Linked DNA regions of Saccharomyces cerevisiae S288C. The protein of the gene in region 1 interacts with the protein of each later gene in a biochemical or structural test. Each region holds a gene or a part of one and is shown in the gene's direction. Other genes may lie near its edges.

Region 1 (3,494 bases):
TAAAAAAACGTGAGTCACTGTGCATGGGTTTAGCAATTAATTAACTAATTTACCGGAGTCACTATTAGAGTCAGTTCGACTGCCTAGAAGAACTGCTGGTTGTCAGGATTGTGATGGGGGCATTCTGCTGTATTATGACCCATCGTATCGCAATGCTCACACCACTGTTGTCTTCCTGCCGTGGTATCGACTGGTGCAGGGGGGTCGAAAATTGGCAACGATTCCACGGCTGTTTGTGCTTGAGCCTGTTCCAACTGTTTGATTTTTTCATTAGCCTCTTCAAGTTTTTTCGTTAAGGATGCCACCTCTTCCGATGAGGAATCTTGTGGTTTTGTCAAAAATAGTTCCTTGCTCAAATTTTGGTATTCTTTACTGAGCGAATCGTTATGCATTTTCAATTGTTCGCGTTCTTTAGCCCACTTTGTCTTGTGTAACTCAAATTGGTCTTCTATGTTGCGTAATTGTTCCAGCTGTTTTTTCAGGAGTTCGACATCTTCGTTGGCACCAGTGGGTTGATTATGAGAAAGATTTCTCTCTTCGTTTTCTTTGATCTCTTCGTGTAGTTGGCTTACGACAGCAAGTAGCTGTTCATTCTCAGCGTCAAAAAACTGCTTTTGTTTGGCTTGCTGTCTGCGTTCGAGCTCCAATTGTTGCTTGAGATGGTCTATCTCTTTCTCTCTTTCTTGTATTGTGGCTTCATACCTATCAAAAGTCGGTTGCACTTCTTCGAGGACCATTCTTTGGTCATCGAGTAGCCTTTTGTAGTGTAGTTGTTTCCTTTGTAGCTTTTCGATGGTCAATTGGGCTTCTCGTAATTCAATTGTAACTTCGCTGCTATTGAGGTCATTCATGTGGCCATTGTCCGGTTTCCAATCGCTGGTGGTGTTGTGATTAGCCTTTCTGTCTGATGACAGGATAGAGTCGACCTCCATTCTGTCTTCTCTGTTATCGTAACCAAATTCTTGCTGTTGATGGTGATCCGATGCCTCCTGGTCCATCGACTGTTGATTACCGCTGTGCCGACTGGTGATCCGGAAACTTCTCATGGGTGTGGGGGATTTAGGATCATCCATGGGAGAGAACTGGTTAGTGAGCCTCACAATAGATCTGTTTTTGGGTATTGATAGCGGTTCCATTGTCGTTCTTCTCGAGGTTTGCGATATCGATGCCTTCTCGATCAATGATGCGACTTTTTGCAACTGAATAAATAGTCCACTTTGAGGATACTCCGTTTGAAAATACTTCTTCCCCATGAATGATCCATCGTTCTTACCAATGTTGGCAAGTAAGTCTACACCAGCAAACATTCCAGCTTTCGTGTCCACTGGACCCACGTATTTCAGTTGTCCGCGCCCCAAATTTGGGATTTGTATGAAACATCCTATCTTTCTTTGATATCTATCCATGGTATTTCAAACGCATACACAGCCAGCCACAGCTCAACGCCTTTTACCTTGTCCTTTGATGCCTGTCTCGTCCAAACGTTTTTGGTGTCTTGGCCAATTGCCCTTCTGAAAAATCTCACTGTCCGCAACTCATTAAAAGATACCCAAGCAAGCTACACGATAAAGAAAGGAGAAAGTTCATTAAAAGAACGTACATATAGCGATACAAACGTATAGCAAAGATCTGAAATGGATACGGATAAGTTAATCTCAGAGGCTGAGTCTCATTTTTCTCAAGGAAACCATGCAGAAGCTGTTGCGAAGTTGACATCCGCAGCTCAGTCGAACCCCAATGACGAGCAAATGTCAACTATTGAATCATTAATTCAAAAAATCGCAGGATACGTCATGGACAACCGTAGTGGTGGTAGTGACGCCTCGCAAGATCGTGCTGCTGGTGGTGGTTCATCTTTTATGAACACTTTAATGGCAGACTCTAAGGGTTCTTCCCAAACGCAACTAGGAAAACTAGCTTTGTTAGCCACAGTGATGACACACTCATCAAATAAAGGTTCTTCTAACAGAGGGTTTGACGTAGGGACTGTCATGTCAATGCTAAGTGGTTCTGGCGGCGGGAGCCAAAGTATGGGTGCTTCCGGCCTGGCTGCCTTGGCTTCTCAATTCTTTAAGTCAGGTAACAATTCCCAAGGTCAGGGACAAGGTCAAGGTCAAGGTCAAGGTCAAGGACAAGGTCAAGGTCAAGGTTCTTTTACTGCTTTGGCGTCTTTGGCTTCATCTTTCATGAATTCCAACAACAATAATCAGCAAGGTCAAAATCAAAGCTCCGGTGGTTCCTCCTTTGGAGCACTGGCTTCTATGGCAAGCTCTTTTATGCATTCCAATAATAATCAGAACTCCAACAATAGTCAACAGGGCTATAACCAATCCTATCAAAACGGTAACCAAAATAGTCAAGGTTACAATAATCAACAGTACCAAGGTGGCAACGGTGGTTACCAACAACAACAGGGACAATCTGGTGGTGCTTTTTCCTCATTGGCCTCCATGGCTCAATCTTACTTAGGTGGTGGACAAACTCAATCCAACCAACAGCAATACAATCAACAAGGCCAAAACAACCAGCAGCAATACCAGCAACAAGGCCAAAACTATCAGCATCAACAACAGGGTCAGCAGCAGCAACAAGGCCACTCCAGTTCATTCTCAGCTTTGGCTTCCATGGCAAGTTCCTACCTGGGCAATAACTCCAATTCAAATTCGAGTTATGGGGGCCAGCAACAGGCTAATGAGTATGGTAGACCGCAACAGAATGGTCAACAGCAATCCAATGAGTACGGAAGACCGCAATACGGCGGAAACCAGAACTCCAATGGACAGCACGAATCCTTCAATTTTTCTGGCAACTTTTCTCAACAGAACAATAACGGCAACCAGAACCGCTACTGAACGATGATTCAGTTCGCCTTCTATCCTTTGTTTACGTATTTGTTTATATATATAACTTTATTTTTTTTTATTAATTGGGCTGCAAGACAATTTTGTTGTCAGTGATGCCTCAATCCTTCTTTTGCTTCCATATTTACCATGTGGACCCTTTCAAAACAGAGTTGTATCTCTGCAGGATGCCCTTTTTGACGTATTGAATGGCATAATTGCACTGTCACTTTTCGCGCTGTCTCATTTTGGTGCGATGATGAAACAAACATGAAACGTCTGTAATTTGAAACAAATAACGTAATTCTCGGGATTGGTTTTATTTAAATGACAATGTAAGAGTGGCTTTGTAAGGTATGTGTTGCTCTTAAAATATTTGGATACGACATCCTTTATCTTTTTTCCTTTAAGAGCAGGATATAAGCCATCAAGTTTCTGAAAATCAAAATGGTAGCAACAATAATGCAGACGACAACAACTGTGCTGACGACAGTCGCCGCAATGTCTACTACCTTAGCATCAAATTACATATCTTCGCAAGCTAGTTCCTCGACGAGTGTAACAACAGTAACGACAATAGCGACATCAATACGCTCTACACCGTCTAATCTACTCTTTTCTAATGTGGCGGCTCAGCCAAAATCATCTTCAGCA
Region 2 (4,331 bases), on another chromosome or scaffold:
AACATAGGGACACGTTCAGGCAATTGTCCATATCCCACACAAATTAAGATCATACCAAGCCGAAGCAATGAGTTTTTATCAACCATCCCTATCTCTTTATGACGTTTTGAACGCATTATCCAACCAAACTGGCCAGAGAGGGCAGCAAGGATATCCTCGCCAACCACAAAGGCCACAGAGATACCATCCCCATTATGGACAAGTGCACGTTGGCGGGCATCATCCTCGTCATCATCCATTGTATAGCAGATACAATGGTGTTCCTAATACCTATTACTACCAGTTCCCTGGACAAGCCTATTACTATAGTCCTGAATACGGTTATGATGACGAGGATGGTGAAGAAGAGGACCAAGACGAAGATATGGTGGGTGACAGCGGCACTACAAGACAGGAAGATGGTGGCGAGGACAGCAACTCGAGAAGATATCCATCATATTACCATTGTAATACTGCCAGGAATAATAGGACCAACCAACAGGCAAACAGTTTAAACGACTTATTAACCGCGTTAATAGGTGTTCCACCATATGAAGGCACTGAACCAGAAATTGAAGCAAATACCGAACAGGAGGGCGAAAAGGGAGAAGAAAAGGATAAGAAGGATAAGTCTGAAGCACCCAAAGAGGAAGCTGGCGAAACCAACAAAGAAAAACCTTTGAATCAGCTGGAGGAATCGTCGAGACCACCATTAGCCAAAAAATCTTCATCGTTCGCTCACCTACAAGCGCCTTCCCCAATACCTGACCCGTTACAAGTATCCAAGCCTGAAACGAGAATGGACTTACCATTTTCACCAGAAGTGAATGTCTATGATACCGAGGACACTTACGTAGTTGTTCTTGCGTTACCAGGTGCTAACTCTAGGGCTTTCCACATTGATTACCATCCATCTTCTCATGAGATGCTCATCAAGGGTAAGATCGAAGACAGAGTGGGCATTGATGAAAAATTCTTGAAGATCACGGAACTAAAATATGGTGCGTTTGAGAGAACCGTTAAATTCCCCGTGCTGCCACGCATTAAGGACGAAGAAATTAAAGCTACTTACAACAACGGTCTACTACAAATTAAGGTGCCTAAAATTGTCAATGACACTGAAAAGCCGAAGCCAAAAAAGAGGATCGCCATTGAGGAAATACCCGACGAAGAATTGGAGTTTGAAGAAAATCCCAACCCTACGGTAGAAAATTGAATATCGTATCTGTTTATACACACATACATACATTTATATTTATAATAAGCGTTAAAATTTCGGCAGAATATCTGTCAACCACACAAAAATCATACAACGAATGGTATATGCTTCATTTCTTTGTTTCGCATTAGCTGCGCTATTTGACTCAAATTATTATTTTTTACTAAGACGACGCGTCACAGTGTTCGAGTCTGTGTCATTTCTTTTGTAATTCTCTTAAACCACTTCATAAAGTTGTGAAGTTCATAGCAAAATTCTTCCGCAAAAAGATGAATCTTAGTTCTCAGCCCACCAAAAGAGGTACATGCTAAGATCATACAGAAGTTATTGTCACTTCTTACCTTGCTCTTAAATGTACATTACAACCGGGTATTATATCTTACATCATCGTATAATATGATCTTTCTTTATGGAGAAAATTTTTTTTTCACTCGACCAAAGCTCCCATTGCTTCTGAAGAGTGTAGTGTATATTGGTACATCTTCTCTTGAAAGACTCCATTGTACTGTAACAAAAAGCGGTTTCTTCATCGACTTGCTCGGAATAACATCTATATCTGCCCACTAGCAACAATGTCGGATTCAAACCAAGGCAACAATCAGCAAAACTACCAGCAATACAGCCAGAACGGTAACCAACAACAAGGTAACAACAGATACCAAGGTTATCAAGCTTACAATGCTCAAGCCCAACCTGCAGGTGGGTACTACCAAAATTACCAAGGTTATTCTGGGTACCAACAAGGTGGCTATCAACAGTACAATCCCGACGCCGGTTACCAGCAACAGTATAATCCTCAAGGAGGCTATCAACAGTACAATCCTCAAGGCGGTTATCAGCAGCAATTCAATCCACAAGGTGGCCGTGGAAATTACAAAAACTTCAACTACAATAACAATTTGCAAGGATATCAAGCTGGTTTCCAACCACAGTCTCAAGGTATGTCTTTGAACGACTTTCAAAAGCAACAAAAGCAGGCCGCTCCCAAACCAAAGAAGACTTTGAAGCTTGTCTCCAGTTCCGGTATCAAGTTGGCCAATGCTACCAAGAAGGTTGGCACAAAACCTGCCGAATCTGATAAGAAAGAGGAAGAGAAGTCTGCTGAAACCAAAGAACCAACTAAAGAGCCAACAAAGGTCGAAGAACCAGTTAAAAAGGAGGAGAAACCAGTCCAGACTGAAGAAAAGACGGAGGAAAAATCGGAACTTCCAAAGGTAGAAGACCTTAAAATCTCTGAATCAACACATAATACCAACAATGCCAATGTTACCAGTGCTGATGCCTTGATCAAGGAACAGGAAGAAGAAGTGGATGACGAAGTTGTTAACGATATGTTTGGTGGTAAAGATCACGTTTCTTTAATTTTCATGGGTCATGTTGATGCCGGTAAATCTACTATGGGTGGTAATCTACTATACTTGACTGGCTCTGTGGATAAGAGAACTATTGAGAAATATGAAAGAGAAGCCAAGGATGCAGGCAGACAAGGTTGGTACTTGTCATGGGTCATGGATACCAACAAAGAAGAAAGAAATGATGGTAAGACTATCGAAGTTGGTAAGGCCTACTTTGAAACTGAAAAAAGGCGTTATACCATATTGGATGCTCCTGGTCATAAAATGTACGTTTCCGAGATGATCGGTGGTGCTTCTCAAGCTGATGTTGGTGTTTTGGTCATTTCCGCCAGAAAGGGTGAGTACGAAACCGGTTTTGAGAGAGGTGGTCAAACTCGTGAACACGCCCTATTGGCCAAGACCCAAGGTGTTAATAAGATGGTTGTCGTCGTAAATAAGATGGATGACCCAACCGTTAACTGGTCTAAGGAACGTTACGACCAATGTGTGAGTAATGTCAGCAATTTCTTGAGAGCAATTGGTTACAACATTAAGACAGACGTTGTATTTATGCCAGTATCCGGCTACAGTGGTGCAAATTTGAAAGATCACGTAGATCCAAAAGAATGCCCATGGTACACCGGCCCAACTCTGTTAGAATATCTGGATACAATGAACCACGTCGACCGTCACATCAATGCTCCATTCATGTTGCCTATTGCCGCTAAGATGAAGGATCTAGGTACCATCGTTGAAGGTAAAATTGAATCCGGTCATATCAAAAAGGGTCAATCCACCCTACTGATGCCTAACAAAACCGCTGTGGAAATTCAAAATATTTACAACGAAACTGAAAATGAAGTTGATATGGCTATGTGTGGTGAGCAAGTTAAACTAAGAATCAAAGGTGTTGAAGAAGAAGACATTTCACCAGGTTTTGTACTAACATCGCCAAAGAACCCTATCAAGAGTGTTACCAAGTTTGTAGCTCAAATTGCTATTGTAGAATTAAAATCTATCATAGCAGCCGGTTTTTCATGTGTTATGCATGTTCATACAGCAATTGAAGAGGTACATATTGTTAAGTTATTGCACAAATTAGAAAAGGGTACCAACCGTAAGTCAAAGAAACCACCTGCTTTTGCTAAGAAGGGTATGAAGGTCATCGCTGTTTTAGAAACTGAAGCTCCAGTTTGTGTGGAAACTTACCAAGATTACCCTCAATTAGGTAGATTCACTTTGAGAGATCAAGGTACCACAATAGCAATTGGTAAAATTGTTAAAATTGCCGAGTAAATTTCTTGCAAACATAAGTAAATGCAAACACAATAATACCGATCATAAAGCATTTTCTTCTATATTAAAAAACAAGGTTTAATAAAGCTGTTATATATATATATATATATATAGACGTATAATTAGTTTAGTTCTTTTTGTACCATATACCATAAACAAGGTAAACTTCACCTCTCAATATATCTAGAATTTCATAAAAATATCTAGCAAGGTTTCAACTCCTTCAATCACGTTTTCATCATAACCCTTCCCCGGCGTTATTTCAGAATGTGCAAAATCTATTAGTGACATGGAACTCAAAGAACCAGTTGTTTTTTTGTCCTTTGGTCCTTCGCTGCTTCCCTCGGCATCATCATCATCATCATCATCATTATCATCATCGTCGTCATCATCGTCTATAAAATCATCTCGCATAAGTTTGTCAACATCATTTAGTAATTCCCATCGCTCCGGGTCTCCTTCGTAAATAAACAAAAGACTACTTGATATCATTCTAACTTCTT
Region 3 (3,676 bases), on another chromosome or scaffold:
GTGTAGTGATCTTTTGAACTCATCTACATCTTTCAATAACAAGCTAGAGCTACACCAGTATATTTCGGAACAAGAAAAACAAGCTTTGAAGGCAAAACTATTAGAGGACCTAGAAAAATCCCAACACTTAGAAACCAAAAAAGACAAGAATTATATTAAGGCGCTTTTCAAGGACGCTTGTAATTTTTTGACTTTATCTGAAGAAGTACATTTGCGTAGGAAATACTTAAAGTCGGTCTTCCCCGAAACAGATAGTACGGTTGAAACCAAAAGCGGGAAGAAGTCAATTGTGTCTAGACGTTTTGATTACACCAAAAATAAAGTTGAAGTCATTGCTAGAAGTAGGCGGGCTTTTTTGAGCAAGCTTTGATTTTCTTTCCTTACGCACAGTATGTACACATATAAAATGTTTAAGAATGCCTGTAAATATTACTATTTTGTCGCGCAAGTAGCTAAACCTTTCGTCTACACGAAACTTAAAATTTAGTGCTACATGCAAGGGAATATGTTTATACTGTACATTCTCGTCTTCCTTTCATTGATGATATGCATCGCGATTGCTTTCATTTTGTGAACAATCAATTAACTAAAATGCACAGGATAGTAAAATCTATATTTACAAAAAGGCGGATAAGCAAACACTGAAAATCATAATGTTTTTTGTCACTTCGGTCCTTCAAGCTTGGTAGTTGATAAATTGTAAACTATACATCGTTTAATGCGACACATACAGCTCCCTTGTGGTGTCCACCGTACTGTCTGACAATTTCTCTAGTTGATAAATCCCATAATCTCACGTAATGATCGGACGATGCCGTTACTAGATACGCACTGTCAGCACTAAATGCGCAATCCCAAACCCACCTTTGGTGGCCATCCAATGTCGTTTCTAGCTTAAAATCATCATCAATCGACCACACACGAGCAGTGTGATCCGCTGAACATGTTGCCAAATGTTTTACATCAGATGATAGTAGAATTCTAGTTATATATGTGGAGTGCGCTCTGAATTTTGTTACCGGTTTTAGATGGGATGCGTCAGTATGATTTGGCATTTCCCATACGTAACAATTACCTTTAGTATTTGCTGCCGCTAACATCGAACCATCACTTGCCATAGATAAAGACTGGAGAGAGGTATCGTCCTCAGGTGTCAATTGATGGGTACACTGATTTTCTCCTAAGTCCCAAATTCTTATATTACCATCTCTATCACAAGATATCAACTCGCCTTGGTTAGGATGAATTACGACTTCATTTACTGGTGCGTTATGTTTGTAATTTCTAGGAATGGACGGAGAACGCACATCCCAAACTTTAATGGTCCCATCTTCGCTAGAGGTCACCATCCATCTGTTGTCCTGTTGAAAAGAAACGGAGGTAACGTTTCCCCGATGACCCTCAAAGGATGCTACTGGATTGGGATTTGTCGTCCGAATGTCATAAAGCCGTACGTTTTGATGGCCTGCTGTTGCCAACAACTTTTTATCGTTGGTGATTTCTAAGCGATTAACCTGTGAGTCGGAATGCTGAATTGTTCTTGAACAAACCCCAGTAAGAGCCTCCCAAAATCTTATTGTGTGGTCATAGCCAGCAGATACTAAGATAACAGACATCAATCAGAACTCCTTTTTTATATGGATGACAAGACTGCCACGTTGATCGCTGCGCTAATAATATATGGTTGTCGCACTCTTCTATAACATGATCAGTAATAGCTAGTCGTTACTTTTCTGAATCTTAACGTATTGTGTTACCCTCTTTGGTTTATATGAACGTTCCAGAAACTTCTGGAAAAAGAATGGGATATCCTTTTACGGGTTTTTCAACCACTGTCAGCACAAACTCCTTGCCAAGGTAGTTCGAGATTTAATATATATTGTATAGATTTCTCGTCCCTTTACCGTATTGTTAATCCCTTTTTAAACTTATGCGCTTTCTTGTCAAAAATTCTAATTAATATTATTTAAGCTCTTACACGAATTCTTTTAACGACTTAGAATTGTATAACCATCCAGAAACTCTTCAGAGGATAAAGGATAAGTTGTTTGCATTTTAAGATTTTTTTTTTAATACATTCACATCAATATAATAGAGTATAGTATACAGAACTAATAATGGTCAAGGAGACAAAACTTTATGATTTACTTGGAGTATCTCCAAGTGCTAATGAGCAAGAACTGAAAAAGGGTTATAGAAAAGCAGCTCTAAAATATCATCCAGATAAGCCAACAGGTGACACAGAAAAGTTTAAGGAGATATCAGAGGCCTTTGAAATTTTAAATGATCCTCAAAAAAGGGAAATATATGATCAATACGGTCTCGAGGCTGCTAGATCTGGTGGTCCAAGCTTTGGTCCTGGTGGTCCTGGCGGTGCTGGAGGTGCTGGAGGCTTCCCTGGCGGTGCGGGCGGATTCTCCGGAGGACATGCGTTCAGTAATGAGGATGCTTTCAATATTTTTTCACAATTCTTTGGCGGCAGTTCCCCATTCGGTGGTGCTGATGACAGTGGCTTCAGTTTCTCTAGTTATCCATCTGGCGGCGGTGCTGGTATGGGAGGTATGCCTGGAGGAATGGGAGGAATGCATGGCGGCATGGGAGGTATGCCTGGCGGCTTTAGATCAGCATCAAGCTCTCCCACGTATCCAGAGGAAGAAACAGTTCAAGTTAATTTACCAGTTAGTCTAGAAGATTTGTTTGTTGGTAAAAAGAAGTCATTTAAAATTGGAAGAAAGGGCCCACATGGGGCCTCTGAAAAGACACAAATTGACATTCAATTAAAACCGGGTTGGAAAGCTGGTACCAAAATAACATACAAGAACCAGGGTGATTACAATCCTCAAACGGGCCGTAGAAAGACTTTGCAGTTTGTCATCCAGGAAAAGAGCCATCCAAACTTTAAAAGAGACGGTGATGACCTAATTTACACTCTGCCACTATCTTTCAAGGAATCATTGTTAGGTTTTTCAAAAACTATCCAAACAATTGATGGCAGAACCTTACCTTTGTCGAGAGTACAGCCTGTCCAACCCTCACAAACTTCTACTTATCCTGGTCAAGGTATGCCAACTCCAAAGAACCCATCTCAGAGAGGTAATTTGATTGTAAAATATAAAGTGGACTATCCAATATCACTAAACGACGCTCAAAAACGTGCTATAGATGAAAATTTTTAATAGTAATCCTAAGCAAATATAATTATAAACTCAAATAAATTTATCACCACAGAAATCATATAATATACATCATTAATTTTGACTCAATAATCTTAAATTGCGCGGTGCGGTGCGCGGTAAATTAAAGTTTTTGTATGTCTGCATTACCCTGCCCTCTGGCATATAAATGATGTATGTAAGGAATGGTTGACTTGACAGAAGGTCACCGAGAGGCTACAATTTGTCAGGAACAGTCATTACGTAGGGATTTTCAAAAGTTTGACTGATGTCTACAAATATATTGCAACATGTTAAGCAATTGCTCCATAACAGAGATGTATTTAGCTTTTTTCACAACAAGACTGGAAATCTTAATTACCTAGATAACACAACTCAGAAACCGGAAGTTTTTGTAAGTCCAAATTCTACAATAGTTTCAGCCCCAACTTTGGACTCTTTTCAAGCATTGATGGAGAAAGGTAACTTCACCACTTTGCAACTAGCTAAGGTAGGAATTAGAA

Evidence for each region.
Region 2: the proteins of RNQ1 (region 1) and SUP35 form a complex in vitro, tested with the Saccharomyces cerevisiae proteins (2 studies listed by BioGRID).
Region 3: the proteins of RNQ1 (region 1) and SIS1 form a complex in vitro, tested with the Saccharomyces cerevisiae proteins (3 studies listed by BioGRID, with this or other methods).

The regions. Positions count from the first base shown.
Region 1 is NC_001135.5:68,516-72,009, forward strand, and holds RNQ1 (prion domain-containing protein RNQ1), read left to right. Parts: upstream 1-1,634; coding exon 1,635-2,852; downstream 2,853-3,494. Other genes in the region: BIK1 (Bik1p), read right to left, coding at 84-1,406; FUS1 (Fus1p), read left to right, coding at 3,288-3,494.
Region 2 is NC_001136.10:806,554-810,884, forward strand, and holds SUP35 (translation termination factor GTPase eRF3), read left to right. Parts: upstream 1-1,770; coding exon 1,771-3,828; downstream 3,829-4,331. Other genes in the region: heat shock protein HSP42, read left to right, coding at 68-1,195; ARG82 (inositol polyphosphate multikinase), read right to left, coding at 4,012-4,331. UniProt on the Saccharomyces cerevisiae protein: GTPase component of the eRF1-eRF3-GTP ternary complex, a ternary complex that mediates translation termination in response to the termination codons UAA, UAG and UGA.
Region 3 is NC_001146.8:618,007-621,682, reverse strand, and holds SIS1 (type II HSP40 co-chaperone SIS1), read left to right. Parts: upstream 1-2,117; coding exon 2,118-3,176; downstream 3,177-3,676. Other genes in the region: mitochondrial 54S ribosomal protein bL27m MRP7, read left to right, coding at 1-370; TOR complex subunit LST8, read right to left, coding at 705-1,616; putative ubiquitin-protein ligase ASI3, read left to right, coding at 3,442-3,676. UniProt on the Saccharomyces cerevisiae protein: Required for nuclear migration during mitosis. It is required for the normal initiation of translation. Might mediate the dissociation of a specific protein complex of the translation machinery. Essential for viability.